Notamacropus eugenii: one gene and its partners. The protein of the gene in region 4 binds, or shares a complex with, the protein of the main gene of each other region. Links are inferred from orthologs where the notes say so. Each region holds a gene or a part of one and is shown on either strand. Other genes may lie near its edges. The genes, in order: USP39, BUD13, LSM7 and SNRPD1.

Evidence for each region.
Region 1: SNRPD1 (region 4) and USP39 share a complex: the UniProt entries of both Homo sapiens proteins name them as parts of the U4/U6-U5 tri-snRNP complex. The link is inferred for Notamacropus eugenii from reciprocal best matches to the Homo sapiens genes SNRPD1 and USP39.
Region 2: SNRPD1 (region 4) and BUD13 share a complex: the UniProt entries of both Homo sapiens proteins name them as parts of the minor spliceosome. The link is inferred for Notamacropus eugenii from reciprocal best matches to the Homo sapiens genes SNRPD1 and BUD13.
Region 3: SNRPD1 (region 4) and LSM7 share a complex: the UniProt entries of both Homo sapiens proteins name them as parts of the U4/U6-U5 tri-snRNP complex. The link is inferred for Notamacropus eugenii from reciprocal best matches to the Homo sapiens genes SNRPD1 and LSM7.

What each region holds. Positions count from the first base shown.
Region 1 is NC_092872.1:726,461,831-726,468,989, forward strand, and holds the start of USP39 (ubiquitin carboxyl-terminal hydrolase 39), read right to left. Parts: upstream 3,015-7,159; 5' UTR 2,533-3,014; coding exon 2,085-2,532; intron 1-2,084. Other genes in the region: C1H2orf68 (UPF0561 protein C2orf68 homolog), read left to right, coding at 5,237-5,343, 5,958-6,121.
Region 2 is NC_092876.1:135,379,181-135,387,062, reverse strand, and holds the start of BUD13 (BUD13 homolog), read right to left. Parts: upstream 3,007-7,882; 5' UTR 2,895-3,006; coding exon 2,752-2,894; intron 886-2,751; coding exon 795-885; intron 1-794. UniProt on the Homo sapiens protein: Involved in pre-mRNA splicing as component of the activated spliceosome. As a component of the minor spliceosome, involved in the splicing of U12-type introns in pre-mRNAs.
Region 3 is NC_092875.1:63,776,674-63,783,758, reverse strand, and holds the start of LSM7 (U6 snRNA-associated Sm-like protein LSm7), read right to left. Parts: upstream 3,001-7,085; 5' UTR 2,753-3,000; coding exon 2,747-2,752; intron 2,630-2,746; coding exon 2,539-2,629; intron 1-2,538. Other genes in the region: SPPL2B (signal peptide peptidase-like 2B), read left to right, coding at 3,179-3,226. UniProt on the Homo sapiens protein: Plays a role in pre-mRNA splicing as component of the U4/U6-U5 tri-snRNP complex that is involved in spliceosome assembly, and as component of the precatalytic spliceosome (spliceosome B complex).
Region 4 is NC_092875.1:245,365,429-245,372,938, reverse strand, and holds the start of SNRPD1 (small nuclear ribonucleoprotein Sm D1), read right to left. Parts: upstream 3,014-7,510; 5' UTR 2,817-3,013; coding exon 2,803-2,816; intron 2,598-2,802; exon of another isoform or gene 1,620-2,597; intron 1-1,619. UniProt on the Homo sapiens protein: Plays a role in pre-mRNA splicing as a core component of the spliceosomal U1, U2, U4 and U5 small nuclear ribonucleoproteins (snRNPs), the building blocks of the spliceosome.

The DNA of each region.
Region 1 (7,159 bases), on a different chromosome or scaffold from region 4:
CTCACCATCATCTAATGGCATTTGAACTGGGCCAGGGCACAGGCCTCTGACCTCTACCATCCATCCTCCACAGAACTGCTAAACCATCTTCCTCCTGCACAAGTCACCCACAGGGCACAGTAAGAACTGGAAGGACCCTTGGAAGCAATTAGGTCCAATCCCTTCATCTTACAGATAAGGAAAGTGAAGCCTCAAAGTGCATCAGTGACTTGTGCTGGGTCACATAGCTCGTATGTCTGCACCAGGATCTGAATTCAGATCTCTCTGACTCTAAATCCAGTGCCCCAGCTACAATATGCTGCCTCCATCAAAATTTTTTACTGGTTCCTCAGGGCCTATTGGATAAAATCCAATTCTTAGCTTCTAATATAAGGCTGTCCAGAATCTTACTCCAACTTACTTTAACCTGATCAATTTTATTTCATTCTACTTCCTTTACGATCCATCCGAACTAGAACATATTACCTTCTCCTGTTGAAAAAATGTTCTTACGAGCCCAGCTCTGGTGGCCTCTGTTTATTACAGACTTCCCTATCCTCCCAACTAGAAGGTCTTCTCTCCACAAATTTCTTATAGCATTCTATCTAAATGCTTCCTTGGCCCTCGTCACACCCTTTCTTATATAGATGTACTCTTCATCCATCCCCACCCTTAAGAGTATCTAATCTAGGAAGCGAGGTGGCACGAGGGACCTGTCAAGCCTGGGAGCCAAGTTCAAATCCTAATTCAGACCCTAACAGTGACCCTGGGCAGGTCATTTAACCTCTCAGCCTCAGTTTCCTCATCTGTAAAATGAAATAATAGCACCTGATTGTTTCGTCATGGGACTGTTGTGTCAAACAAATTAACGTTTGTACACTACTTTCTGCAAACCTTTAAATGATTTACACACACTTTTTTTCCTTATATGTTAAATCTCCTCAAAAGAATATACGCTACCTGAAAGCAAGGACTTTTATTTCTGTCATTGACCCCCAGAACACAATACTGTGCCTGGCACATAGTAAGTGTTTAATAAATGTTTGTTGCTTGAGCTGAATTAAAGTGACGATAATAATACTAAGAGTGAAAAGTAAAAAAAGATCACATTAGATAATGCTATAAAAGTGGAGAGAACTCTGGTTCTGGAATCAGAAGATCTGGAGTCAAGTCCTATCTATGAGGTTTACTACCTGTATATCATATTCCAAGTCACTCAACCTCCCTGATCCTCAGTTTCCCCTTCTATAAATGAGAGTAAACTGGACAGGCCTCTGAGATCCCCGCTTGACCTATGATCTATGATGGTTTTTAAGGACAAAAGAAAAGGTAATTTTTTTTAACACGCCTTTAGTTACAATGCAATGTATTCAACGCTGAGCACACAAAAATAGAAGAGTCCCTTATCCTCAGAGGGAGCTTACATTTTGCTGCAGGACACAACTTTTTTTGGCGTCGAAATTCCCAACATCCATCTAGCTCTAATATACGTTCTCTAAGAGAGCCTACATTAAGAGACTAGCCCACAGTCCCCCAGGGCCAGGATCAGAGGGACCTGAGCTTCCCGACTTCAAGTCTAGCGTTCCTCCTCTCCCATGTACACAAACAAGTAAGGAAAAAGTAAAACTGTCGAAAATCGATCACTAGCAAAGACAGGAAGGCACGGGGGCCAGAACCCTGGAGGGAATATGTGGCTGAAGGCAGAGAACACAGGGAAGGCTTAGGGTGGGCTGCACCCAAGCCCCGGCGCTGAGACGGGCAGGATGTCACCCCAACTTTGGTCAAGGTTCCGTTCAAGCGGACACTATCCGAGGCCCCTTTGGACTGCGCCACCTGACCAGGACCTTCCTCTCCTCCCTGACATCCCTCTGGATTTAAATTGCACGTGGTTAGCGGGTAATGACGTAGCCGGGCAGGGCAGTTTCCCCACCCCGAGAACCGGGCAGGGAGCAAGCACTTGCTGGCCCTCAGTTTCCCCATCTGGACAAAAAAGGGGAAAGGATGGCCGTCCTCAGAGGCTCTTTCCAGCTCCGGGCTGGCAAGATGGGGATGGAGATGGGGATGGAGATGGGGATGGGGGACGCCCCGGTCCCGGCCCCGCGCACCTCGCACCTCCCGCTCCGGCTCCGAGTCCTCGTCGGCCTCGCGCTCCCGCTTTACGCGCGAACCCACTAGCGGCGGCGCGGGCACGAGCGCGGGCACGCTCCCGCCCGAGGAGTCTCGCGCCGCGGGCTCCGAGTTCCGTTCCCGTTTCACGCGCACCGGGCTCCCCCGAGACCCCATGCCGTCCGAATCCCGCTCCCTCTCCCGTTTCGACCGACTGGAGCTGCTCCGGGACTCCGCATCCCGCTTGCCCCGGGCGGAGCTCCGCGTCTCCCTTTTCGAACGGCTAGACATCCCCTCCGGCCACCGGCCCCCGCCGCCTCTCCGCGCAGGCGCAGAGGTCTCACTCGCGGTGCCGCGCCTGCGCAGCACAGCTGGCCAATCAGCCGCAGCGCTTCTGGCCAATCCGCTGCAACGTCTGTTCGAGGGTTCTAGCGCTGTGGCCCGCATCTACAAACCTGCTTCCCAGGCTTCCGTGTGTGACTCTTGGATGCTCTCATTGGTTCCCGCCCCACCGCTCCGGACGCTGAATGGGCCAATCATCTTCATCATCCACAGTTTCTTATTTAAAGGGCCAGATAGCCCTTAAGTGGCCCAAGATGCTGGGGTAACATCATAGGACTGGAGAAATTTTTACTTAGGTTGATGAGGCATAATGGAATGATGCTGTCCTGTCCCTCAAAGGCTGCGATGGAGGCAGCGAAAACATCCCATTGCCCAATTTTTTAAAAATAATTTTGATTTATGTTTTCTCTTTCTAACATCACTATTTTAACAGCCCCTCCCCTCCCTGAGAGCCATCCCGTATGACAAATAGTACTTTAAGTATGGGAAAAAAAAGTCAACAGACTGATTGACAAATAAAGGTATTCATTTGGAAAATGAGAAAATTAAGCATATGACATGAAAACAGAAACCAAAAAAAAAAAAAAAAAAGACTGATTGTCAAGAAGTTAGTTCCCTACACCAGTGAAATCATAGTTCCCACCAAAAGAATGAGTGTCTACAACAATCCAGTTCTTTGTGATTGACTTGGGCCTTGACCTTGGAGTCTTTGGCCCTTAACTAAAATCCTGGTTCTGACATTTACTGTTTGTGTGACCAGGAGCAAGTCACTCACATTTCTCTGGGCCTCAGTTTATCCATGTGGAAAATTGGACTAGAGGTCCAAGGTCTTTTCCATCTCTAGAGCTATGATCAATATATATGGGTAGGAGTCCAGCCTACCCCACCAAAATTAGTCACAGGACAGTCTGAAGGCTTCATCGTATCAAAAGTAAAAGATATAGGAATTTTGGTTGTTCAGTCATCTTTCAGTCATGTCTAACTCTTTGTGACCCCATTTGGAGTTTTCTTAGCAAAGACACTGGAATAGTCTGTCATTTCCTTCTCCAGCTCATTTAACAAATGAGGAAACTGAGGTAAACAGGATAAAGTGATTTACCAAAGGTTACACAGCTAGTAAGCGTTTGAGGCCAGATTTGAACTCAGGAAGATGAGTCTTCCTGACTTCAGGCTGGGTACTCTATCCACTGTCCCCATATGAATAGTCCTTAATCAATTAAAAAAGATCATAGGGTCTTTGGACCATTGTATAAAAGGAGATGAGGACTCATAGGAAATAACTTTTGTTGGGTTGAAAAAATCACTCCCAACTCTTAGACAGTAAGTTATTTCAAAGCTGGGTAGTCCCCAAAGGAATTATTTGATTCAATTCAAAGAACATTTCTTAAATGCCTACTAAGTGCCAGGCACTGTGCTAAGTAAGCACTAGGGATATAAAAAGAGACAAAAGACAGCCCCTCCCCTCAAGCTTTTTACTGAAGCAGACAACATAAAAATATATACAAAGCAAGCTATACACATGATAAATGGGAAATAATTAACAGAGGGAAAACTCTGGAATCAAGAAGAGTCAAGAAAAGCTTCCTGTAGAATGTAAGATTTTAGTGGAGACTTAAAGGAAGTCAGGAAGGTTAGAGCAGAGAAAGGAAAAGTTTTTCATACATAAGGGAGAGTCAGAGCAAATGGTGGAAACTGAGATGGAGGATTGTTCATAGAACAGCCTGAAAGGCATCATCACTGTATGGAAGAGTAGATGTTGGGGAGGTGAATGCCAAATAGACCATTTTTTCTCCTGGAGGCAAATAGGAAGCTGCTGGAGTTTAGTGAGAGGGGATAGGGGTGACATGCATGATCTGGCATATAGTAGGCACTGGATGATGTTTGTTGATTAATTGATTGACTGGGCCTTAATTTCCTCACCTATAAAATGAGTGGGTAAGGTCCTTGAAAGCAGGCCTGTTTTCTTTGTGTCTGTCTCTTAAGTTGTGCCTTGTTAAGGTAAATTGAATTGAGGGAGTTAGAATGGATGTTGAGATTCTGTCTCTCTTCCATCTCCAAGCCCTAGACTGGCAAAGAGGAGTCTGTGCTGAGGACAGAAGTGGGGTTGGGGCAAAGGTCAAGTTAAGGAGCTCGGGATACCCTGGTGATGGGGGAAGAGGGCAATATCTGACTCAAGAAACTTACAGTTCTATTGGGCCTTGTCAGCAATACTGCAGCTGCCTGACCCCTAAGATCCTGTACTTACATACATAGTTGTTTGCCCGTTGTCTCTCCCTCAAGAGCTCCTTGAGGGCAGGGGACGTTTATTGCCTTTCTTATCTCAAACTTTTAATGGAGTGTCTGGCAAACCCAGAGCACTTGAAGAATTCTCGTTGATGGACTCCTTGGATTTGCTAGCGATCAGAAACTGTCTGTCTTCCATCTGCAGTTCCCTCGCTTCGCACAGTGGAAAGTGCTGAATAACATTCCTTCATTCCCTCAATCCTTTATACTAGGTGGGGAGAATAGGGACGCACACAGAGGCGGGTAAATACAAAGTATTTACAAAGTGTACACAAAGTAAACAGAAGAGACTGGCGAAGGAAGAGAGCACTAGCCCCCGCCTCGCACGGGGGCGGGGCCAGCCCTGGGACCGCGGGGGAGGTGGGGAGAAAAGCGGCCAATGGGGACGGAGAGGGGCGGGGCCAGTCGGGGAGCTGGCGGGCGGGCAGGGGGCCGGGGGAGGGGAAGGCCTCCGCGAGTGACGGTTGCTCTGGCGGCGGGGGCGGCGTTGGCTTTTTCCCCCCCCCGGAGCTCCCGGAGCGCCCCAATGGAAGCGGAGCCGGGTCCGGGCCGGCGCTGCTGCTGCAAACCGGGGGGGCGACTGGACATGAGCCACGGCTTTGTGCACCACATCCGGCGGAACCAGATCGCCCGGTGCGGCCCGGCCAGGGCCCGGACCCTGCCTCGGGCTCTCCCCGCGCCCCCACCCGCCCTTCGCTGCCCCCGGTTCCCAGCCCCAGATCCTCCCTCCCCCCCAGCCCCTGTACCCAGGGCCCCTGCCTTCTGAACTAGTCTGAGCCTTTTGGCCCGTTCCCCGCCCCCTCCACCGGGGTCCCCGCCCTCTGTCCTCCTGACCCAGTTCCTCCTGCCCCCTACCCACCTTCCAGCTACCTCCGGGTCCCTAACCCTGTTCCCCCCACTTAAGCCCCCTGGTCCCTCCCCCACCCCCTCCCTCTGCCCCAAACCTTTAAAAGCCTAGGTCCCTGCCTTCTGTCCTACTCTAGACCCCTCTCCCCCGGTCCCTTCCAGGTTTCCAGCCCCTGGGTTCCTGTCCCTTGTCCCTCGCCTTCTCCCCTGGAACCCCGCACCCCTTCCTAGTCTCTGCCCTCAGGCCCCTTCCCCATCCCCTACTCCTAGATCCAGCCCTCTAGTCTCTGCCTCTCCTTCTCCTAACCCCTAACCCCCCACCCCCTCCCCAGAGGCCTCCTTCATTGGGGTCGCTCTGATCCCTGACCTCTCCCCATAATCCCTCTCCGTCCCACCCGCAGAGATAATTACGACAAGAAGATGAAGCAGGCAGCCAAGGAGAAGGTTCGGAGGCGACTCACCCCGGGCCCTACGAGGCCCCGAAAGCCAGACCAGCAGGTGTACTTACCCAGACGGCGAGGCGAGGCAAGGCTGAGCCGGCCTGGGTCCTCCACTGGGAGCCGGGGTGAGAGAGTTAGCGAGAGGGGTCTACGCCCCAGGAGCCTCTAACTAGCTGTGTGTGGCTGGGCAGGTCCTGGCATCTTTGGGGGCCTCGAAGCCGATAGAACATTGGGCTACAGTCAGGAAGACCTGGGCTCCAGGGCTTGCTGGTGTCACTTAATAACTGGGTGACCCTACAAAAAAGAGGGAGGGGGAATTGCTGTAGGTAGTGGGAGCCCTGAGCACCACATGTGGAAGACGCCATGACGTTCAGCCCCCTCCTTTTCCAGATGGTGCAAAAGGTTCAGTTATTCACAGGGTTTCACAACTGGGGAGTGAGAAGCTGGGAAATTGGACCTGGCATCAGGAAGACCTGGCTTCCAATTCTGTCTGTCATTTACTAGTTCCATGACCTTGATTGAATAGGTTACTGAATGTCTTCGGGTCTCAGTTTCTTCATCTGTAAAATGATGGGATGAGACCATCGGATTTCTGAGGCAGGAAGACTGGAATTTGAATCCTGCCTTCCACACTTACCAGGTGTGTGACCCTGAGCAAGTCACTTAGCCTTAGTTTGCTCATCTGTAAAATGGGATAAAAACAGCTCTTACCTCCCAGAGTTGTTGTGAGGATAAAATGAGATAATGGTGCACTTCAAAAGGGCTATTAATGTTTATTATTATTACCATAATTTAATAGGATCCTAGATCTAGAAATGGAAAAGACCTCAGATCTACTAGAAAGCCTGCTTATTTTACATATAAATAAGAAAGCAGGCCAAAGAAGGGTGACTTGTCCAAGGCCACACAACTCATGAGCATGATTTGAACCCAAGACCTCTGACCTCAAAACCGGTGCATTCTTCCCTACCAGGCAGCTTCCTTATTGACCGGTGAAGAAACTATTTTCTCAACCATAAGCCAGGACCTGGTTTTAAATCAAAGCCTGGCATTTGCTCTAACAATTATTGACTATATCAATACCTCTGGGCCTTAGTTTCTTCATCTGTCAAAAGAGGATATCATAAGTATGGAACAGGGCTTTTGCAAGGTGAGAGAATATG
Region 2 (7,882 bases), on a different chromosome or scaffold from region 4:
CCTTCCGGAAGAGGCTTCTGCTGATCCTCTCAACTGTTAATGTTATTCCCAATGGAAATTATTTATATTTACTATGTATCTATTTATTTGTATTAGTGTTGCTTGTTACCCCCAAAAATGCTCTCCCCCAATCACAATACTTAAGCTCCTTAAAGGCAGGAAGGAACAGTTTCCTTTCTGTCTTTGTATGCCCAGAACCTAGCCTGGTACCTGGCACATAGGGAGCCTTTAATAAATGTCTGCCGGCTTGTTTACTTGCTTGATGAATGAATGAATGAATGAATGAATGAACAGAGGCATCAAGCTATTAAGTGGTAAGAGGAGAGCAAAAGTTTCTTTAGAGTTGTTATGCATGTTTTCTTACATTTTTCAGTGGAGAATTGCAAACATAAACTAAATACAGTTTTGGCTGAGCAAAAACACACACTTGGAAAGTCACTCCCTCTGTGTGATTGCTTCCTCACTATTAGGAGGATGATGCTCCTAATGAAATGAGTATAGCACAACTATTAATTAACATTTTGTTACAATTTTAAGCAAAGCATCATTGCTTCTCTGTTCCCACCACTTTCCATTCACCCATAGCATTAAGAGTTGGGGTCCACTTAATGCCTGACCTTGGGGAAGTCGATCAATTTCTCTGAACCGATATTGTCTCGTCTATAAAATGAGGTTAGACAAGACAATCTCCAAAGTTCTTTCTAAGCTCTAAATTCTGTGATCTTATAACCAAATGAAAGGAATCTGCTTGAAGCAAACACAAGTTCCTAAGCGCGTATTACTCCCAAACTTACCACAGGCAAATCTCCCTCCTCTTCCTCTTCTTCTTTTTCTAACTTAGTAGAAATATTTGCCCAGCTCACATCATCATCCACAATCCTCATCCTACAGAAAATAGTCAGAAAAAAGAACTATTTTCAAGATGAGAACCAACAACATTCTAGGAGACCCAAACAGTTGCTCAGAAATAAGTCAGAGAGAGGCATGAGCAGACAGAGAGAAGCCCCATTTAGTTTGCCCTTTTCCTGCAAAGCCAACATCTCTAAGACTGAAGAATTTAGGAAAAGTTAACTTTGAAAAGTTACTCTGAAAGAGACTGGGAACAGGATGGAACACAAATCCCCAACCACAACCAGTGGGCTATCTCCTACTTCAAAGCCCAAAAGTTTGGATTCCCAGCCTGAAATCCTACCTCTGGGCCTAATTCCACTGCCGTGTTTTTCACTGGCCCCCTTGGTACTCTTCTCCCCAGGCCCACCCCCCAAACACCCCCTGCCCTTTAACTTCTGAAGCATTTCATCCCAAACTTCAGGTTGGATCCTCCCAGTTCACTCCTCAAGGTCTGGGAGGGAATGAGAGAAAAGGAGTGTATCCAGGGCTCAGGTCACTGAGGAGATACAAAGGGAGAGACAAGGAACTGAATTTGGTGACTAAGAGAGGGCAACATGGTCAACAGAGAGGAAACTGATCTGGCCCAGAAGCTGGGTTGATTTGAATGGGGCACATGGGTGTCAGGAAGGAAGAGGGTACAGAGGGGAGTAAATAGGGAGAACTGTGGGCTTGGAGAAGAGAGGGGACAAGGTGGGAAAGAGGGCCATCTACATAAGGCCAGAGCCTAAGCTCATGGGAAAAAGACAGTCAGATGAAAGGAATGACAAAGAGACAGTCACAGCCTTCAGCGCCAGGAGAGAGCACAGTTGTGATGGGGGGGACCAAGGAGCCAGGGCAGGAGGAAGGCCACAGCCTAGGGTCACTGGTGCTTGCCTAACTTTCCAGTTTCCACAGAGAGCACCAGCACCCTCCCAGGCACCCAGGCTCAAAGTGCTTTCTCACCACCTGCACATCCAATCCGGTACCAAGTCTCGTCTCTACCTTTACAGCTGCTCCTGTAGTTCCATCCTTTCAGTCTTGTCTGACTCTTCAGGACCCCATTCGGGGTTTTCTTGGCAAAGATAGTGGAGAGGTTTGCCAGTTCCTTCTCCAGCTCATTGTACAGATGAGGAAACTGAGGCAAACAGGGTTAAGGGACTTGCCCGGGGTCACTGGGCTAGGAAGACTCTGGGGCCGGATCTGAATTCAGGAAGGTGAGTCTTCCTGCCTCGAGGCCTGGCACTCTACCCACTGTGCCCCCCGCTGCCCCTTCTACCTTCACAACCTCTCTGCTTTCTGGCACCGCTGACAGGCCCCGTGTCCTTCCCACTCCCGGCCATCCTCCCTTGGGCTGTCAGTGATCTCCCCGAGGCTGCCCGGCTTCCCCTGGGGACACCCCCGCCTTCACCTTCTTTCTGTGCAGGGCGCCGTCTGACACGCGGCCCCCACCCCAGCCCTCCATAAAGCTCCGGGAAAGTCACGACCCGAGCCCCCCTTTCCTGTCTCCGTATTCCTGACACCCGGGCGCTGCCCCTCGCAGTGCCCCCGGCGCTCCGCCCGCGCCTCGCCAGTCTCCTCGCGGCAGCTCGGAGCTCGAGTTCCAGGAGGGCGCTCCCGGCTCGGCCCGGCTGTGCCCGGCGGCTCGGGCTGGGGCCCCCCCGGCGCTGGGCGCGGAGCCGGGCACCCCGTGCCGCCCAGGAGGCAGTGCGGGCGCTCTGGGGCGGAGGAGGCCGGGGCTGAGCGGCTCGGCCCGCGGACACACGGACACGCGGACACGCGGACACACACACACGGACACACACACACACGGACACACACACACACGGACACACACGGACACACAAACACACACACTCACACACACACTCCCCCTTGGCTCACCCTTTCCCTCCGGCACCCGTCGGCTTCGGCCGTTTCTTGCGGCGCTTACGACTAGGCTCCGACCCCGCATCGGCAGCTGCCTCGGGCCCCGACAAGTAACGCTTCAGATACTCAGCCTTGGAGAGCGGCGGGGCAGCCGCCATGGCAGCGGAGGAAGCGGAGGAGAACCGGAACCGAGCTACGGCGCGGCGCGGGACACAAACTTAACCGCAACGCCAAACGTTCCCGGCGGGCCTGCAGGGGGTGGAGCTAGGACTCCCGGGCAGCGCAGACAGAGCGAGGGGAGCATCTGATTGGTCCCTGGCTGTGGGCGTGGCCCCGCTCCTGCTCTTGCTCAGCCCGGGGAAGCGGGCGGGGCCACAACGGCCCCAGCAAAGCAGCGGCCCGGGGTTTGGGGGAGCGGGGCGGGGAGCGGGGCGGGGAGGAATACAAGGGGGGGGGGGGGGGCCGTGGGAAGAGAGACGTAGGGGAATGAAACCGGGGCAGTGGAGGGAGAAGGACGGCTGCCCCACGCCACGTGGGCGGGACTGGGTCCGTGGTAACGCCTTTCCCTCTATTACAGCTTTGTTTTGGAGTTCCGAATTCTGCCCCCCCTCTCGCCTCTGCCCCCGTCTGCCCGTCTTACGTGTGAAGTCACGCAGCATCATGTTGCCCCCAAAATAAACAAACGAAACGAACAAAGTGTGCTTCAGCCTGCACGGGAGTCCTCCGCTCTCCTTCCCCGGCGTGGGTAGCCCTGCCCGTCATGAGCCAGAGAGCACATATCGGGAGTCAGACATGATGAGTCTGCGGTGCCAGGTGGGCATCGAGCGTACGTGCCCTGTCGAAGGAACTGACCCAGTTACACGAACGAGGACAAGCAGGCAAAGCCTGTGGGCGCACATCTAAGCTAGCAACCATCAGACCAAGAAAGGCCTCTACATCACAAGTCATCGAGTTAGTGCCATGGCAGTTTTTGGAAGGGCCGTGGGAAAGCCAGCACCCTCCATGTGCCATGGGGGAGCTGTGAATTGGTCAGAAACTCTACTGGAAAGCAGTTTGTCCCCAGATGATGCCCCCAAAGTCACTACACTACACGCGTCCTTGGCACTACTAGGCCCATATTCCACATAGCTCCTCTATACACAAGAACATTCATAGCAGCTCTTGGTTGTGGCAAAGAAGTGGACACCAGGGCTGCCCACCGATTGAGGAACGACTGAACAAATTATGATATGAAAACAGAATGGAATATTGTGCCAGAAGAAACGACAAAAGGGATGGTTTCAGAGAAACAGAAGACTTCTTGAAGTGGTGCACAGTAAAGCCAGCGGAACCTGGGGAACAATATACATAATGTTGTGAAGAAAAGCAACTTTGAAAGACGTAAGGATGCTATTTAATGCGATGACCAACTATAATTTTGGAGGACTGATGTGATAAAGCATACTGCCCATTTCCTGAGATAATGAACTCAAGTTGTAGGAAAAGACTTTTTTGGATATGACTAATATGGGAACTTGTTTTAAACCGGCTGCGCAAATCTGTTACAAAGCCTTTGTTTTTTTATTTTTTATTTTTTCAGTTTGGGGGAGGGCAGAGGAGGAGCCAGGGACAAGATAGCCCATCAAAAAAGAAAAAGAGTCACTAGAATTTTTAAATGCACAGAAGAGAACAGTAGGAAAACAAGAAAAAAATCAGACAAGGCAGCTTTGAAATTGCATATTCAATCTATTATATTATTTAATTTTACATAATAGAGATCGTTTCATTTACAGTCCTCTTTTCTATTCTGCTATGTGCATAGCCTATTTTATTTGGTGTTTAAATTCCTAATTTTTCAAAATTAATCTTTTAAAATCAATTGCAGGGATGATGACTATGACATGGTTGAAGCCCTGGCAGTAAATGAGATTGCCAATGGAAAAAATGTGAAGATGAGAAGAGACCCTTGGGGAACCCCCATAATAAGGGGTAAAGGGCATCATCATCAATATCGTAAGTAGTGTTACATAGCATGTTAGGGTTTACAAAACTCTACAAATATCTTTACACAGTTGGAGATAGGTGCTGTTATGGTCATCATTCTGTCATTGTCAAGAGGAAAGAGCTGAGAGATTAAGTGACTTGTCTGGGGTTACACAGCTAATAAAGTGTTTGAGTAGGATTTGAGCTCAGCTCCAACACTAGCTCCTGAGGTTAGTAGCCAATGAAAAAGACCAAGAACAGCTTAGAAATGTAGGCTCTAAAACCAATAAAGCATACAGTAGAAGTGATTGGTCAACAGTATAAAAGGTGGCAAACAGGTCAAGGAGAATGAGAAATTGGTCAATCCACAAGTATTTATTAAGCCCTTACTGTATTAGGCACTGGGGATGCAAGTACAAAGAGTGAAACAGATCCTACTCATAATGAACTTAGATTCTAATGGAGAAGACAATTCCATATCAAAATACATAGTAAATAAATACAAATATATACAAAATAGTGGAATGTAAAGTACTTTAGGAAGGAGGGCACTAGCAATGAGAGGAATGCGGAAATACTTCATTTGAAGATGGTGCCTGAACAGCATCATAAAGGAAGGTAGACTACTTTGGGATGACCAAGACAAAGGCATGCAAAACGGAGTTAGAGTGTCATGTGTCAGGAACAGAGAGAAGGTCAGTTTGGCTGTTTCACAAAGTGCAGGATGGAGAGAAATGCCTAAGTAGGCTGGAAAGACAGGTTAGAGCCAGGAAGTGAAGGTCTTTGAAAGCTAAACAGAGTTTATCTTTTTATCCTTGAGGCACTAGGAAGACATTGAAGTTGGTTGAGTAGGGGAATCATGGTCAGATCTACATTTAAGGAAAACTATTTTGGTAGCAGCATGTAGGAGTGGGGAGACACTTGAAGCAGAGAGATTAATAAGGAGCTGTTACAGTAATCTAACTGCAAGGTGATAAAGGCCCGAACAAAGGTGGCAGCTCTGTGACTGGAGAGGTCAGAAAGAAAAGATATGAATATAGAATGGCACGATTTGGCAACTGATTGGATATGTGATATGTAAGAAAGTTCAGGACAAATGTCAAGATTTCAATCCAAGACACTGAAAGAATGGAGGTTTCCTTGACAGAAATAGCCAAGTTTGCAAGAGAGAAAGTTTGCAATGAAAAAACCAAGTTTAGTTTTAGACATGTTAGTCTCTGGAACATCCAGTTTGAAATATCTAACTGGCCTTTGGTATCAGGGACTGAAACTCAGTGGCTTAGAGACTAAAAGTGGATATAAATAAATCTGGGAGGTATCTGCCCAGAGATGGAACTATGGAAATGGAAAAATCCATGGAATTTATTGATAAAGAGCTCTTCAGTGACTTTTAGGAGAAAAAGGCTTAGGTAGAACCTATTCGGTAGAATAGTGCTGCAAGAAGACAAATTAACTAAGTGTACAAGAGCAAGCAGATGGTGCCATGAAGTAGAGGCACCCATTTCAAATGTGATTAGTGATAGGGAGAAAGGAGGGTAGCTGAATGGATGAAAAGGCTCAAGGAAAGGCTTTTGGTTCCTATGGGAGGACCTGTCTGTAAAATGAGGGGATTCAGTTAGATAATCTGCATGGCAATTCAACTGAATTAAAAGTTGAATTGAAAATAATTTGAAGATTTTTAGTTCAATATGATTCAACATTATATGGCAAGTGAAACGCTAATGTGTCCAGGGCACATTAAGAGCATACCACTTAGGACGAGGGAAGTGAGCATCCCACCCTATTCTAACCTGGTCAAAACACTTTTGGAATACAATGTTCAGTTCTAGACACAATTTATGAAGGACATGGATAAACTGGTGAGAAGTGCATAAAAAGGCCAGCTGGAATGGTGAAGTGTTTAAAGATCATGCCATATGAAGAAATAGAAGAACTTGGACTATTTGGTTCCAAGAATAATGATCTCATAGACTTAGAACTGCAAAGAACCTTGGAAGAAAGAAAACACAGCAGTCAGGCTATGTATCCCATCAGCCCCTCTGTATGTTAGCATACATTTATGGAAATTGTTGTGGATTTCATACTGAAAACTTTTTTTCCACTTGTGTCCAAAAAACTGTTTACAATCTAACTTGTACATGATGAATTACCAAGTTTTTAAAACCATCATGTCATCTTTTATTCCTCCTTGCAGAGACTGCAGCTATGAAGGAAGGTTGGTTACCTGTAGATCATTTCAAGCTCACACCTAGTCTAACTAGGTTGATTTGTTGTGTACCTGTTAATGCTTATTACTTTTAACCAATCAGATCTTTTGCTGCATAATGTTACTTAGGAAAAACTCTTCTGGTATGTTAACAGATGCACCTAATTAAAAATATATAAATTAGTCTAAGAAAAAACTTGGATTATGAGTTTTATGTCCTATGATGGAGTTTCACAAGATGAGGAGAGAACCTTGTTCTGGATTGCAGAGAGGTAGCAATAGAATTCCAAAGTCCAGTGACAGGATGTACAGTAGAAGCAATAATTATGTAAGACTTAAAAGCCAAAGAATTATTCTTCTGAGGTAAAGTGTTTTCAGAAGGCTGATTTGCATAATATACTGATGTGCAAGGTGGATAAATGGAGACCACTTGCAGGTACTAAAATTCTTCCTGGTTTTTTCCTGCTCCATATTTTTAAAGTTAAAAGGAAAACTCTACAGGTATGTTGTAGTGATTTTAGGTCCTGGAAGGTTCTCCTTTCTGGGTCATGGTATTCTTAGGCCCATATTGCTAGTTATTACAATTTCTTTGGCAGAGAAAAAGGTGCAGTTAAGTTCCCCTCCCTAATATCAACTCATTCCTGCATTGTAGCTTTCTTATATGGAGCAGTTTCCTATTTCCTGAGGGCTACATATTAGAGTGAAGATCAAGTTATTCTATAAAAAGATTAGCATCGTGCCAATAACAACGAACAAAAAATATTTTTTTAAAGTACCAGGTTCTACTTTACTGACATCTCCAAGAAAAGCTTATCATTGTTACAGACAAATCTTGCTAATTACAATATGGTTACACTAGCACTGTAAGGTCTCTTCCAACACATATCTGTGAGTCTGTGACATGTTACCAGGTAGAAAAGGAGGAACAGAGACCCAAAATACACTTAAGAAGGGTGAGAGGACCCAGTACTTAGCATA
Region 3 (7,085 bases), about 180 Mb from region 4:
AACACGCATTCCAAAACACAGTCTAACAGGACATGCTTTGTTTTATACCTGACTTGTAATTTCATTGTTCTAGGGAACTCCTGATGCAGGTTAGGGGCACTGAGAAGTTAAACGATTTGCCCTGGTCACAGAGGCTGGTATTGAGCCTAGGTCATCCCAGTTCCGAGGCCAGCTTCACATCCATGAAGCCAACACCCTCTTTTATCTTGCTCATAGACTTAGGGATTTGTTTTACTGTTTATATTTTCAAGCCTTGGTGTGGTGGGAGGGACGTGGGGTCTGGAGCCAGAAGACCAGAGTCCAGCTCCAATTTTGCTACTAACAACCTGAGTAACTTTGAGTCATAGACTCTCTCTGGGTCTCTGATCTCTTCATCAGTGAAATGAAGAGAGATGACCTCCTAGGTTCTTTCCAGGAGGTCTCTATCTAGGATCCTACTGAGTATTCCTTAGGGGAAAAGGACCCAATCTTAACTCAGACACATTATCTACCCCAGCACCCCGAAAGACAGGGATCCACACATAGTGCTGGAGTATCAGGGAAGATTACAGGACACCCTTAAATCAAGGTTTATTGAAGGACTATCTATTACAAGATATTGGACATTATTTATGCTTGCATTACAAACTGCAAACCCTGCCCTGCCACTGCTACAGAACTACAGAGACTACTAAACATACCTACTGTGTGTTTATTGTTTATTATTATTTATTTTTTAAATTAAATTATTTATTATTAATTGTTTGTTAATGTTTATTGAATGACAATTACCTATTATGATTATGTGTCTTATCTAAATATTGCAGGTCGAGCAGCAGGTAGTCAAGGTATGCTCCATGACTGTCATGACTTACACTTATGTCTCTTCCCTCTATGTGGGGGGGAGCTCCATAAAGAGAGAGTCTGTGTAAATTTGTGCAAAGGTGTACACACACACAAGCACGCACGCACGCACACAGCAGGTGCCTCATCAATGTTTGTTGAGTATCATGCTATTTTTTTATATTTCTATTCCTGGGGCACAACACTGACTTTGCACATTCTTTTCCACATGGAAACTGCCTCCCTTGCTATTAACTGACAACAACTCACCTATAATAACTTACAGAAGAGGTTCTTCACCTATGGTCTGTGAACTTTAAAAAAAGAAATTCTTTGATAATTTGTTTCAATGGAATTGGTTCCCTTTATAATCCCATGTTGTTTAATTTTGTGCATTTAAAAATATGATTCTGATTGAAGCAGACCATTTTCTTTTGTATTATGTTTTGTTTTATGGTTTCTCCCATTCATTTTAATTCTCCTATGCAACATGACTAAGGTGAAAATGTATTTAATAGGAATGTATGTGTAGAACCTATATAAGAGTGTCTGCTGTCTCAGGGAGAAGTGGGGAGGGAGGGGGGAAGGAGCAGGAAGGAAGAGGGAAAGAGCCAGAGGAAGGGGAAAAAAAATCTAAGCTATATGGAAGTGATTGTAGAACACTGAAAACAAAATAATTTAATAAAAAAATAAAATAAAATATTATTCTGAGGAATCTGTAGGCTTCACCAAACTACTAGTCACCCAACTTGGAAAGTGACCTGGGGTACAGAAGTTAAGTGATTTACTCCTGCATGGTCAAAAAGCCAGTCTGTATCAAGGCTGGAAATTAGGATTCTCTCTGGGTCACTGAGCTGGCACTCTCCCAGATAGAGTGTGGATCTGTGATCTCACCAACACCAGGACGGAATGTCAGCAAAAATCTCATTTTCCAGGAGGCCTTTCCTGATCTCCCCTTATGTTAATGCCTTCCCTCTACTGAAAATCTCCAGTGTATCCTGGACAAAGTCTGTCTGCCCGGTTCTTTTCACATTATCTCCCCCACTGGACGGTGAGACACCTGAGAGCAGAGGCTTCTTTGCTTTTGTCAGCTCAGGGCCTGACTTACCGATGACAGTATCTGTACAGCACAAGTATCTCCCTGAATCTCCGTTTTACAGCAGAAAAGGCGGATTTGCTCAGTGGCCCTGCTGCTAAGTATCTGCGCTCGGAGTCCCATCTTCCAGACTTCGGGGTCCACTGCTCTACCTACCTACCGCACGACCTAGCGCACAGCATACCGTAGGTGCTTAATAAGTGCTCGTTGTCCGACTGACTTCCAGAATGCAGATCAACAACTCCTAGTCTCAGAAAGCTGACGAGCACCGAAAGGTAGTGACCTGTCTGCAAGTGTCTAGCAGGCCTTCCTGACTCCTAGGCCGAGGGCGGCCTCTCTACCCGGTACACAGTTGGCACCTGTGCCCTGGATTGACTCTGCCTTCCAGGCTCTTGGCCCGCCCAGACGATGAGCACGCTCCCTGGGGGCAGGGACCCAGAAGGCGCGGACCTACCAGAGCCCCGGAGAGAAATGAATGGAGAGCGCTCCAGAAGCCAGGGAGGTCCCACCGGAATGTACCACCTGCCGAGGCAGGCGGGGGGGGGGGGGTGTGAGGGGAGGACGGAGACCCTGGGTCAGACCATGTGACGGGAACGACGGGGGGGCGGGGTCCTTCTTACCCTCTCGGCCTCCCTGGAACTTCACGCGGATGGTCTTGTCGATGTACTTGGAGAGGTCCAAGATGCTCTCCTTCTTCTTCTTCTCCTTGTCCTGCAGAGAAAGCACAGCGGATCAGGGGCCCGGGCCTCCGAGCGCCGGGTCCGTCAGTCCGTCCCCCTCCCGCCCCAGCGGCGGCAGCGGCTGCAGCGTATCCCCCCCTCGGCTCACCGCCATGTTGCAGCCGTCAGGGTCCCCTTTGCGTCCGGCGCCTGCGCCCTTTCACCTCTTGGCGCAAGCTTCGGCGTTAACGTCAGGGACGCGCTTGCGCAGATGGGGCAGGAGCCTAGGGTTGGAGGCGGAGCCCGGAGGTTGCTGGGTAACGCCTGGCAGCGCTGTGGCGGCGGCCGCGGCAGCGTCGTCGGCTCGCCGCCATCTTGCTTTCGTCACAATCCGCCTCGTGAGTCGCGCCCCGGCCTTTCACCCTGCACCCGGGCCCTGCGGAAGTGTGACGCGCGTGCGCAGGCGCACGCGGCCGCGGAGCGGCGCTGAGGCACGAGGGGGCTAAGAAGCGGGGCCCAGGGCTTGCTGGGTAACGTCCGGCAGCTGAGGCTGCGGGGAAGGGAGGCCGGAGCCGTGGGGCCCTGGGGATCTCGGGCGAACATGGCGGTACTGGTGCGGCTGCTGCCGGGACTTCTCCTCATAGCGCAGGTGAGGGGGAGGGGGAGGCCTGGCTCCTTCTTCCTCCGGCTCCCCTCAGCGGCCCGGGCCGCCTAGTAGGCCCTAGCCCGGCCTCGCTGCACCGCGGCCCGGTATGCCCCACGTCTCTAACTCCCCCAGGTTAGGCCGGCGAACCCCATCCTCCTTTGCCCCGCGAGGCCGCCTCGTCTTACCCTGGAGGAACTTGAGCCCCAGACCTCCCATAAGCTTTAGGAGCGGCGGGTCCTCCGAGCCCCTCTTTCCGGCTGGTGTCTTTTACTCACTTTTTTCTCACAGATGAGGAAACTGAGTCAGCGCCGGCCAACAGGTCCGCTTCCCAGCATGCCTTGCTCCTTCCTCCCTCTTGGTCGTTCCTTGAGTCCCTACCCATCTTTTTAAACTCATCGCTTCTTATAAACGTGAAGCACACTTAGCCCAGTAAGACTTGTGGGACACTCTGTGTCCCTCAGCTAAACCCAAATTAATTTTACATAAAACTAACAAACTCGTCCCTCCCAAATTCACCCCTGGACCTCTCAGCACTTTGGGCCTCTCCGTTGAAGTGCTGTGTTATCCTCCTCACTGCGCCGTGTTTATCGTGTGGTATTTGAACTTTACACCTTGCACACTGTAGTATCCTGGTCAGGGGTCACACTTCTGTCCTTCCCCTTTTACAAGTGAAAAGCAGACTTAGGGTCAGGCACCGTCAGTAAGCATCTATTAAATAAGTCCCTGCTGCATCCCAGAGCGATCTGAAGCGAGACACTGACTCACGTAAATGACTCCCTTAAAGGCACACAGTACGTCAGGGCCAGCATGTGAAGGTAAGTCTCCTGTCCTCCAAGTCCAGTAATGTTGTCCCTACGTTTAGACCTCTTTCCAAAAGCTCATAATCCCACCCCAGAGCCCTGCTAGGCTGAAGCTCCCTGAATCAGTAATACCCACATGTTAATAATACGCTTATTTATACTTAAAGGTTTTATGATTTATGCAGTTTATAAAGTACTTTGTTATCTAATTTGCTCTGTGAGGGATATCATACAAATATACCTGTTTTATAGAAAGGTTAACTTTTTATGGTTATGGAATGGAAAACTTCCATTTTTTTCCCCTGGCAAAATTAAGGGGTTAAACGACATGTTCTCTTCCCACTCATAAGTCCTTTGGGGATTTATACAGTGATTGCCTGGCACCCAGTTATTGACTGTCCTTTGTGGTTCATTCTTCTAAATTAAAGTGAGTTAAAATTCACTCTTGTTTGGAGGAAAGAATTTACCATATGCAGTAGAAACAGGATGTAATTTATAGTGGGGTTTGAACCTTGGGCAAGTCATTTCACTTCTCTTGGCCTCAGTTTTTTTTGTTGTTGTTTTCTTTTTTTAAACTGTCAGTGTGAGGGCATTGAACTAAATGGCCTATGAATCGATAATCCTGTGGACATTTTGGTGACACCTGAATGACATGGTTTCACAAAACCGTGGCTGGGAATCACTGCTCACTGAACTATTGTTTCAACTTCCAGATTCTGCTAGTAATCTAGACTTGAATTCCCTCTGGAACTGTGGTGGTCACTGAGTGCCTTTGTACTGGTGATTTGCTTTACCAGGGTGAGAAATACTCTTCTCTAAAATTCACTAAAAGGTTATGGGTAAATCATCTCACATCACACTTTTCCAAAGTCAGAAGACCTTGGCAAAGTTGCACCTTTAGCCTCATGTGTATTTTGTGTTTATCTACAATATTCCATTAAATCTTTTTTTCTTTTACTGAGACAGTGTGGTTTAGTGCAGAGAATACTAGACTTTGAGTTGGTAGACATGGTTTCAATCCTGACTGATGGTTTACTAGTTGAATTATCTACCATGGGAAAGCTACTAAATGTCTCTGAGTAATGATTCTGATCATCTTTCAGACTGATAGACTTGCAGTTGGATGGGCAATCTTTAGAGCTCATTTATCTATATGAATAGTGCTGTACTGATAAATGTTTAACAACTGGCTCTCCAGAAAAAATGTACCCATGACACACACTTGAGTTTAATATTAGTTATCAGTATTTTCATTACTTTCTTAAATCTAGACAATCAACAAAGAAATCAAATTATGATTTTATAACCTCTTCTGATTTGTGAGCTGTAAAAATGCTTATATTGAAAATGTAACCGTCAACTCATGCATAGGTTTGATCTGGATCCAGCATACCTCTAAGGAGTACACAGATCTGAGATAAGATGTTGCAGATAGATGAGTCTGGCTAAGAACTGAACTGGAGGAATAGAGCAGGCAGCATTGCCTTTGGGTGATTGTGCAGGTTGTTTTATTTTGTTATTTTTTTTAACAATCTCCCCCCAGGATGAAGGCCTATTTTGTTTTTAATGTCAGTATTCTTGCAGTGATGAAAAATGTTGCTAGTCATGCAGTAGTGTGTAGCCTCTGAAGAACTGAGGTCAGAAATCGTGCAAGGAGCGATGGAGACTGTGTAATTCATCACAAGTTATGCAAGAGAAGTGGTGTGAAGGACATCATCACTGAAAATCAGATCTCAGACCACGTTGTAAAGTGCAATAGACTTACAAGCCATTTGGTAGTTTAGTTAGATAGTTTAATTAAACTAAGACCAAGAAGCAGTTGAACACAGCCCAGTTAACCAAAATACAAACCACTTTAGGAAAGAGCTCACATTTAACAAGACCTGCTGGGAACATTGGAAAGCAATTCAGCAGAAATTAAATTTAGATCAACCTCTTATACTACATGCCACAATAAGCTCCAAATTGTTTAAGAAAAAAAAACCTAAAAAGAGGAGAATGAAAGGGGAGATACCTTTCAAATCTGTAGTTAGAAAAGACTCTTAACACATAACCAAGAAATAGTGGCGATCTTGAAAGATAAAAATAGTCACTTTGAGTCATAAAATTAAAAAAACTTTGCACAAGCAAAATCAGTGTAAAAAATGAAGCTATTTGTAGACACTCAATTGGGGGAAAATCTTTATACTATCTCTGATAAAAGTCTGACCTTTAAGATATATGTGATCAAAAACCATTCCCTAATAAAGTGGTAAAAAGGTATAAACAGTTTTTTAAAAGAAATGCAAGTACTATAAGGTACTCTAAATCAGGGCTTCTTAAACTTTTTCCGCTGCAGACCACTTTTCGAAATGTTCTTGGCTCTTCGTGGGCTTGAAGGCATGTGAAGTACAAAGTTCGTATGTCGTGTTCAGAACCAAGGCTGCAATGAAGTTGTACCATGCACCCATGGGCAAGCAAAGCCAGAAACACCTTGGAGTCATTACATTTTTGATCTTTTAATTTATTTTTGATTCTTATGTGTTCAGAAATCTTTTACGGTTGCCAATTTTTTCACAATTAAAGAAGCACTACTCTAAATTACTAAATTGGGGGTTGGACCAGAGACATCCCGGATGAAACCCTGTGCCATGCAAGTAAGCAAACAACTTCTGTTTGACTTAAAGAGTCTTAGAGAGTGACCTAGAGGACCAAGAAGCTAACTGACTTGGCCAAGCTTTCATTGCCTGCTGTGTGTGACAAAGGGAGGACTTAAGGGTGTTTGTAATTCTGAGACCCAGCTCTTTATCCACTACCTACAGTGGCTCTCAATCCTTAATATGAAAAAAAAATGCAAATTAAAACAGCTATAAGGTTTCACCCACCAAATTGGCAAATTTCATTTTTAAAATGGTAATAGTAACTGAAGGGGTTATGGAAAAACAAATACATTATTAATACAGTACCTCTGGTGAATCTGCGAATTAGTCCCTCTCATCAAGAAAACAGATTTGGAACTGTGTGAAAAACAGTCAAACCCTTTGTTGACCTCTGGGCAACAATCATCCCACAGTTGGGCATTT
Region 4 (7,510 bases):
GCTGCACTTGAGGATCTAGAGGGCCACAATTAGCCAGGAGGACACAAGTTCTCCACCCCCGCTCAAAGTGTTCCAACACCTTTTTTAAGTCAGGAGAAATTTAGTAATATTGAGGTCAAAGAACCATAATGTTAAGGTTAGAGGTGCTTGGGACCCCAAAATGCCAACATCCTAGATCCTGGTTGAATGAATTTCACCTAAGCCTTCTTTCAGCCAAAGTAAAACAAAGTTTATTAAAGATTCACCATGTTGGGTTGACTCTTAAGAATCCTCAAGATTTGTGACACGCAAGCAGGCCAGACAGAATCTGAGCTAGAATGAATGTCAGCACTTTCAAGGAGACAAGAATCTTAATTACAGAAAGACTGTAGAAGGGATCTGGGGGTGGTCTAGTAGTCTGGGGTGATGGGAGGAGGGGTTTAGGGAGGGTCGTGAGGAAGAATGTAAGGAGGATCTTGCTGAGACTGAGGTGACAAGAGGTCAGAACCAAGAGGGTGGGATTTTGATGTGATCAAGGGTGGGAAACAGCAGGCAATGGGGAGGCAACAGACAATGGAGGACCTAGGCTAGATTAAGAGTAACAGATTTGGGCATGAAAAAAAGATTAAGTGGGAAGATTCAAGGGGGTTCCCAGAATCTGTACCCCATCATTACAGATCTCTAGTATAATGGTTAGACACCGTCAAATTTATGGAATGACATTGACAAAAGGTATACAGTACCAACAAGGAATGGTGGTTGTAATCTGCAGAGACTAAGGGAACATCTAACCCAATTAAAGATCCATTTGAATATTCCATGTAACACTAAATTTCACATATCTGATTAAAAAAACTATACATCTAGAACTGTAAAGAACATTAAAGGAAATCTAGTCCACCTTCTGTGTTTTGCAGATGAATGAATGGATGCTCACAGAGCTTAAGTGAGTTGGCCAATAGCATGCAGACAGAGGTGGCAGTGCAATAAACTGGCACCTAAATTCTTTAAATACAAGTAGAGTGCCATTGTCCCTTTTACTGCAAGGGCAGTTTCATCATTTTTGTCTGGATACATATTGGTTTCTACCAGTATAGTATAAGCTCCTTGAAGGCAGGGTCTGCTTGGGATTTTTTTTTGCCTTGTACGCCTAGTAAAACGCACTTAATAAATGATTGTTTATTGACTGATGAAAAGCTTGAAGTAAGCAGAAAGGGCAATGTTAAGCACAGTCATCTTGCAAAAGAGGTCTACAAATGCCACATCTGGTTATCTGAGTGAGTCTGGGTAGTTATACAAAAGTTACATTCCAAAACTTCAAATTCTGATTCTTAGTCCCATTTCTCTAGACACAGAGAACTTATACATACCACTTCCAGGGTTGGCAAATATAGAAATTTTTGTATGATATTTTTTCAGATTGATTTTATTCAGTTACTCTCTTGAATGAAGTTCCCCTACTGCACAATTCCCTGAATTGAACCCTGTCTTCTTCCTTTTAAAAGATATCTTAGACAAAAGCATCCTCTATATTTCCGAGGGGCAAGCAAGATTGGAGTTCTAAAGCTGAAAGAAAATTCCCCTTAGTCTACTCTACATCTGAGTGGGTTCAGAGTTAAGTGCTTTAGTCTGAATCATACCTTTATCTTAAGGAAATGTAGCAATCATTTTAAATGCAGCTGAGAGGCAATTACTGTGCTCTAATGCTAGAAGACAAGGAGAAACTGGCTAAATATAAAACCTGTCGTAGCACTTTATAGTTCCCAACAGTGCAGAGTTGGGATCTGGAAACCTGGTACACCCCGACTCTCCGTGTGTGCTTCGAATACTACGGCTGGCTCAGAGTAATAAGCTGGCTTCAATGACTCCTTCAAACTTTAACTGGAACCATCTGATGTAAAGTTTAATCCTTTAAGTTTATCCGATTCTAAGGAGTTGTGGGCTGTGGGAAATGCTGAATTGGGTAGAAACAGCCAAAGATGGAAGGAGAGGACATCTAATGGTATAATGGGTTTCCAAATAATGGACCGCAGGGCCCAGGCATTTTGTAAAGTTCCGTAAAGGCCCCAGTTGAAGGAACTGACGTTTTTAGTAGTCAGACCCCGCCTCGGCTTTCGGGCTTTAGCCGATAGAAAACACAAAGGCCAAGCCACCCAGGGGGTCCCCCGTCCGTTTCTCAGGTGCTTCTTCCTGCCCGCTGCCGCGCCCCCGAATTCCCAGGCCCTGCCCCCGGGGTCCAAGCGGAAGGCGCAATACTGGGCCTAGCGCCGGAGGAGCCGGACGCCACTTGGCATTCATAGGTCTCACTTTTCTCAAGCGTAAAATGGCAAGGCGAGGGGGCCCCCTGTCTTTTAAGTCCTTTCGAGCTCTAACCCTACGGTTCCACCACGTGAAAGCGGTCAGACGGTTTTGGAACAGGGTTAAGAAAGGCCCAGACCAAAGGGCCCCAGAAGCGAGGGCAGGGGGCCGGGGGCCGGGGGCCCGGGGCCCGGGGCCCAGGACCCGCGCCGCGGCGTCTCGCGAGAGCCTAGAAGCTAACGGCCAGGCCCACGAGTCCCCGTCGGACAACGGCCGCACAACGCCGGTCGCGAGGAGGGAAGCCTCGCCCCGCCCAGGGCGGTCGTTTTCGGGGCACGAGCCGCAGCGCGAGGCGCCGCGCGGGCGGGAGAGCGGGCCGAGGGCGGGGAAGGGCCGCCGTTGTCCCGGCCTATCTCGCGTGCACACGCCACTTTGGCGCCTATTCTGACTGGCCGCACGGCGTCTGGCGACAAACCTCCAAACCCGACCCTACTGCGGCGGCCGGCGCTCTCGCCGTCTCCTCACCTCACGAGCTTCATCCTTCACGGAGCCGTCGACTTTTCGGTCTTACAGGTCGCAAAATCACGACCCCAGGGCGCTAACAGGGGCTGAGGGAATGAATGGCCGGAAGCACTTCCACCAAGAGAACCGGAAGTAGAAAACCCGACTGGAGGAAAACTCGAGACGGCTCTGAGGCGGGGGGAGCGGGTACTTTCCAGGAGCATGTTGTTGCTGCGGCTCCCCCTGGAGGGCGACGGTGCAAATGTCCGCAAGAGCTCGGCCGGGATGTTCACTGTTGGTCTTGGGGGAAAGCAATGTCTCTCTCCTCTTTAGTAAAAACCTCAGGTTATCGGTCATACTCCCGTCTTGCCCGGGATGCACAAAGCCAAAGTTTGGATAAGTTGAGCAAAAACAAGTGCTTTCTGTAATTGATCTTAAAGAAGGAATCCCATTTATTGGAATTTCCGAACTGTGCCTGATGGATCTGTGCCCATACTTACATGTGTGTACGTGGTAGCAGAGTGGATAGTGCTGGGCTGACGTCAGGAAGGATCATCTTGCTGAGTGACCCTGGGCACGTCCCTTCACCCTGTCTGCCTCAGTTCCCTCATCTGTAAAATGAGCTGGAGAAGGAAATGGCAAACCTCTCCAGGATCTCTGCCAAGAAGACCCCAAGTGGGGTCACCAAGAGTTAGGACATAACTGAAAAGGACTGAAACAAGTGAAAAGAGTAGATATTAGTTATTGAAAAAATGTAATTCGTAACAAGTCTGTGTTTGCAATATATTAAAATTAAATCCATCAAGCATTCATTAAGTAACAGTTACTGCTAGGCACTGGGAATAAAGGCAAAAGTGAAATCAATCAAAAGATTTCATGAAGAGCTGAATTTTGAAAAAAGCAAATGTATGGGGTTGTGTTTTAGGGAATGAAGCTATCTATCTCCATTTATAACTGTGGCACCTTGGGTGGGCAGGGGAAGATAAGCCACTTAATTCAGAAGTTTTACCCAGAAAGCGGTGCTTTTTGTCTAACTACACAAATCTACTGCAGTGGGGTCTGAATTAATGAAGTTTCATTTGTTCCCTGGGAAGATGTAGGCAAGCATAGAGAGTGGGGGGATAGGTAATGCACAGAGTGGCAAAACAGTGCCCCAAGGTGTAAAGAAGGGGCGGTTGTTAAAGTAGGTGGATAAAAGTTGTAATGGGGATGTGGTGAGAAGGGAAGAGGATCAGGTAAGACTGTGGAAAGAGTGGCATTGGAGCAAGCCATTAAAGGATAGTCAGGCATTCAGCAAGCAAAGAAAGGGAACATTCTAGACACAGCAAACGGAGCAAAAGCTAAAAGGAAGAAAAATTCAGCATATTAGTGAGTCAAGCATATATGAAGTTCTTACTATGCACTAGACACTGTGCTAAACACGGGGGATGCAAAGAAAGGCATTCTCTCAAGGAACTCCCAATCTAATTTGGGAAAATGATACATAACTATATACAAACAAGCTACGTAGATAGAAAATAAGTAAAAGGCGGAAGGAATCGGGATTAAGCGGAGTTGGGAAAGACTTCCCAAAGAAGGATTTTTAGTTGGGACTTAAAGGAAGCTCTTTTAGTGAGTTGTCACTCATGGAAGGATGGTGAAAAAGTATGATGCTCTTTTTAGCAACATATATTACATTCTTTCCTGAAACACAGTTCCCTTAAGTATGTAAATAGCTGTACTAATGAGGTCTGTTCTCCTTGTAGGATTTAGGGTTTCCCCGTCTAAAACGGTAGAGAACAGTAACAATATGAGAGGTTTCCCCTCTCAGGCTAGGAGTGTTGGTAAAAGGCAATAAACCCAGAACGCTTCTTTACATAAGAGGATTCTGCCTTTCTTCAGTCAGTTTGCAATAGCTATAGCATTCTCTTCCAATCAAATAGTTCCCTGCGTCAACTACAAAGCATGTCTTTTAGCTAGTTTCAGTGCTTGTTATTTCCTTATATCTTCTTTGAGCTGCTTCCCTTGTCATTTTCTAAGTCTTCTGTCCCCTTCTCCTGCTTTTTCTCTGGTTACTTCTGACTTTTAATCAGGCGCTCTTCATGAGTAGTGCCCCATCTCTGATTCAGGTTGAAAAAAAAAACAAAATCCACAATTCTATCGATATGGCACAAACTGAAGATTTTCCCAGAGTTCACAAGCTGCTCTTATAACTTCTCACCTGTTTCCTTCAAAATACTGAAAATTGTCATATGTAAATAAGCTGATGGATAGCAATGAGTTCTAGCCATCCCCAGCTTCAGCATAAGAGAGACTGTTCTATCTGGTCCTCTTAGAAAAGTCTCTGTTTCTCCCCTAGTACTTTTATCTGATGGGCTGCATTTCCTCTCAAGCTGATTTTTATCAGTGCTCATACACAATTGTCCCTTTTCTGCTCCTTTCAGTCACCAAAATGTCTGCATCATAAAAGGACAGAACCTATAAAATGATGGGTTTGGACTAGATGATCTCTAAGGTCCCTTTCAACTGTATCCTAGGATCTAAGAGGCATATAAAACCTTGATTATGTACAGCACATGCTTTGCTGATCAGCAGTAAGAAATGTAAAAATAACAGGACTAAATATAGTCCCACTGCATAGTGGAAGTGAATAAATTAATAGGGTGGAATATAACCCCATGTACAAAAGAATGCTGGGAACTTACTAAGATAATCATTTTACATTAGAATACTATGAAAATGGATTGAATTCAAATGAATAGAAGCCTTATTGATGAGAGTATTCCTCCTAATGACAGAGATGGAAATCATTCATTTTGGCTTATCCTGTGTGGCTCTTGTCCATGTATATGGAAGGAGGATTTTGTTATCTTTTTTTAGTTTAGTTTCTCAGGATCCATGGCCATGGGAATGTCTAATTTCCAGGTGTTAGAAAATAAATCCCAGAATAACCCCAAGGATATTAATTCTCAGAATCATAGTGACAGAGAGGCCTACCGAGGCTGCTCCAGGAGATAAGGGGTAACATAATGTGACATTTACTACATTTGTGCAGAATAACAGTTTTGCTAAAGTTAACCTGTGAGCTTAATGTTGGAAAGATGCCTTCTTTGTCTAGTGCTTTATGAAGCAAGTGGGCAGTGGGCAATGAGTGGAAAACCACATACATACATAAGGAATACATGTACTTGCCTCAACCAGCCCCCATTGAGGCTTGAGGGGATTTAAGAGAGTGAACAAGCTATCCCTGTCTCAATTGACCCCGCTGAGACTAGGGGTAGTTGCCCCCACCACTCCCTTTGAGAAGGGTGATTAAGGAATGCTGTGGGAGCTGGTTCTCCCAACAATCATTTGAGAAGACTAGACTAGAATAAAGCTGATTATTAATCCCTCCAAAGTTGTCTGCCTGTCTGACCAGATTAAGAGTGAACCTGTTAGAGACCGAAAACTCCCGTGTCTTTCTCTGTATTATCTGTGAAACACCTTGTCTTCCAAAAAATTTGTTACAGGTATCCAACCAACACAACTCATGAAACAAGGGAATTAATACATTCAAGGAAAAATTAATGGAATATTCTGAATGATTATAGAATATGTATTTTTAAAAGTTAGGACAGGAAAACCAAATTTTAATTTTTCTACTTTATAATGAAAATAAATTCCAGTTCCCCAAAGACAAATATTAACTATAAGTTGGGTTACCTTATCCTATATTCCTCTGTTGGAATTATGGACAATCATTCCATAAAACCCAAAATGTAATGTGATGAGAAGATAAAACAAGTACAGATAAAAACCTGGATATGCCATTATATTATCTATGTAAACAGAGATTAGAGCAACCAAAATACTTGGCTTTTGAAAAGCAGTAGACCCTGTGTTTGAAATTTTAGCCAAAGAAATTTTAAAATGTCCCCTATAATATGCAAAACATGTATTTTAATTTAGAAGTAATGATTTATTTTATGACATCTGGGTCAACCTCCATTCACTAAAAGCAACATTTTGTCTTTTTTAAATTTTTATTGATATTTTCTAGTTTTACATAATAGTAGTAACTAATATTGATATAGTACTTAAAGTTTTGCAAAATGCTTGAATCTCACAACAGTCTTTTGAAGTAGCTGCTATCTTCATTTTACAGATGAGGAAACTGAGGCTGAGAGATTAAGTAATTTGCTGAGTTCTATAAGCCCGTTAAGTGACTGAGGCAGAAATAGAACTCTGGTCTACCTGAGTCACACAGGATGAACTTAGAGGAGAGCTAATGGATCAGGGCTGTTGGAGGGGATGACAGAATTTGAGACATGGAAGGAATCTCAACAGCCACCCAGTTCAATCTGGACAAACAAAATCCAGACTGCATCATACCTGACAAATAATGACATCTAGTCTAGTCTCTGCCTGACACTCTCCAAAAAGGGAGGTTGTCAGGCAGCACTTCAAGCAGCCCACTCCACCTGGACATACCTAGTTGTTTGTTTGTCTATTTTCCCCAGAGTCAAGCTTGAATTTGCTTTACCCACTATTCTTTATTTTGCCCTCTGGGGCCTCTTCCTCCACTTGACGGTCCTTTGAGTACTTGAAAACAACTACCATGCTCCTCTGTCTTTCTATTGGTTTCTTCAACTTATTCTCAAATGATTTGGACTCAAAGTCTTTCACAATCCTGATGGCTCTCCTCTGCAGACTCCCTAGATTATCAACATCCTTTTTCAACATTGGTTCACCAAACTGAACACAGATCTTTTCC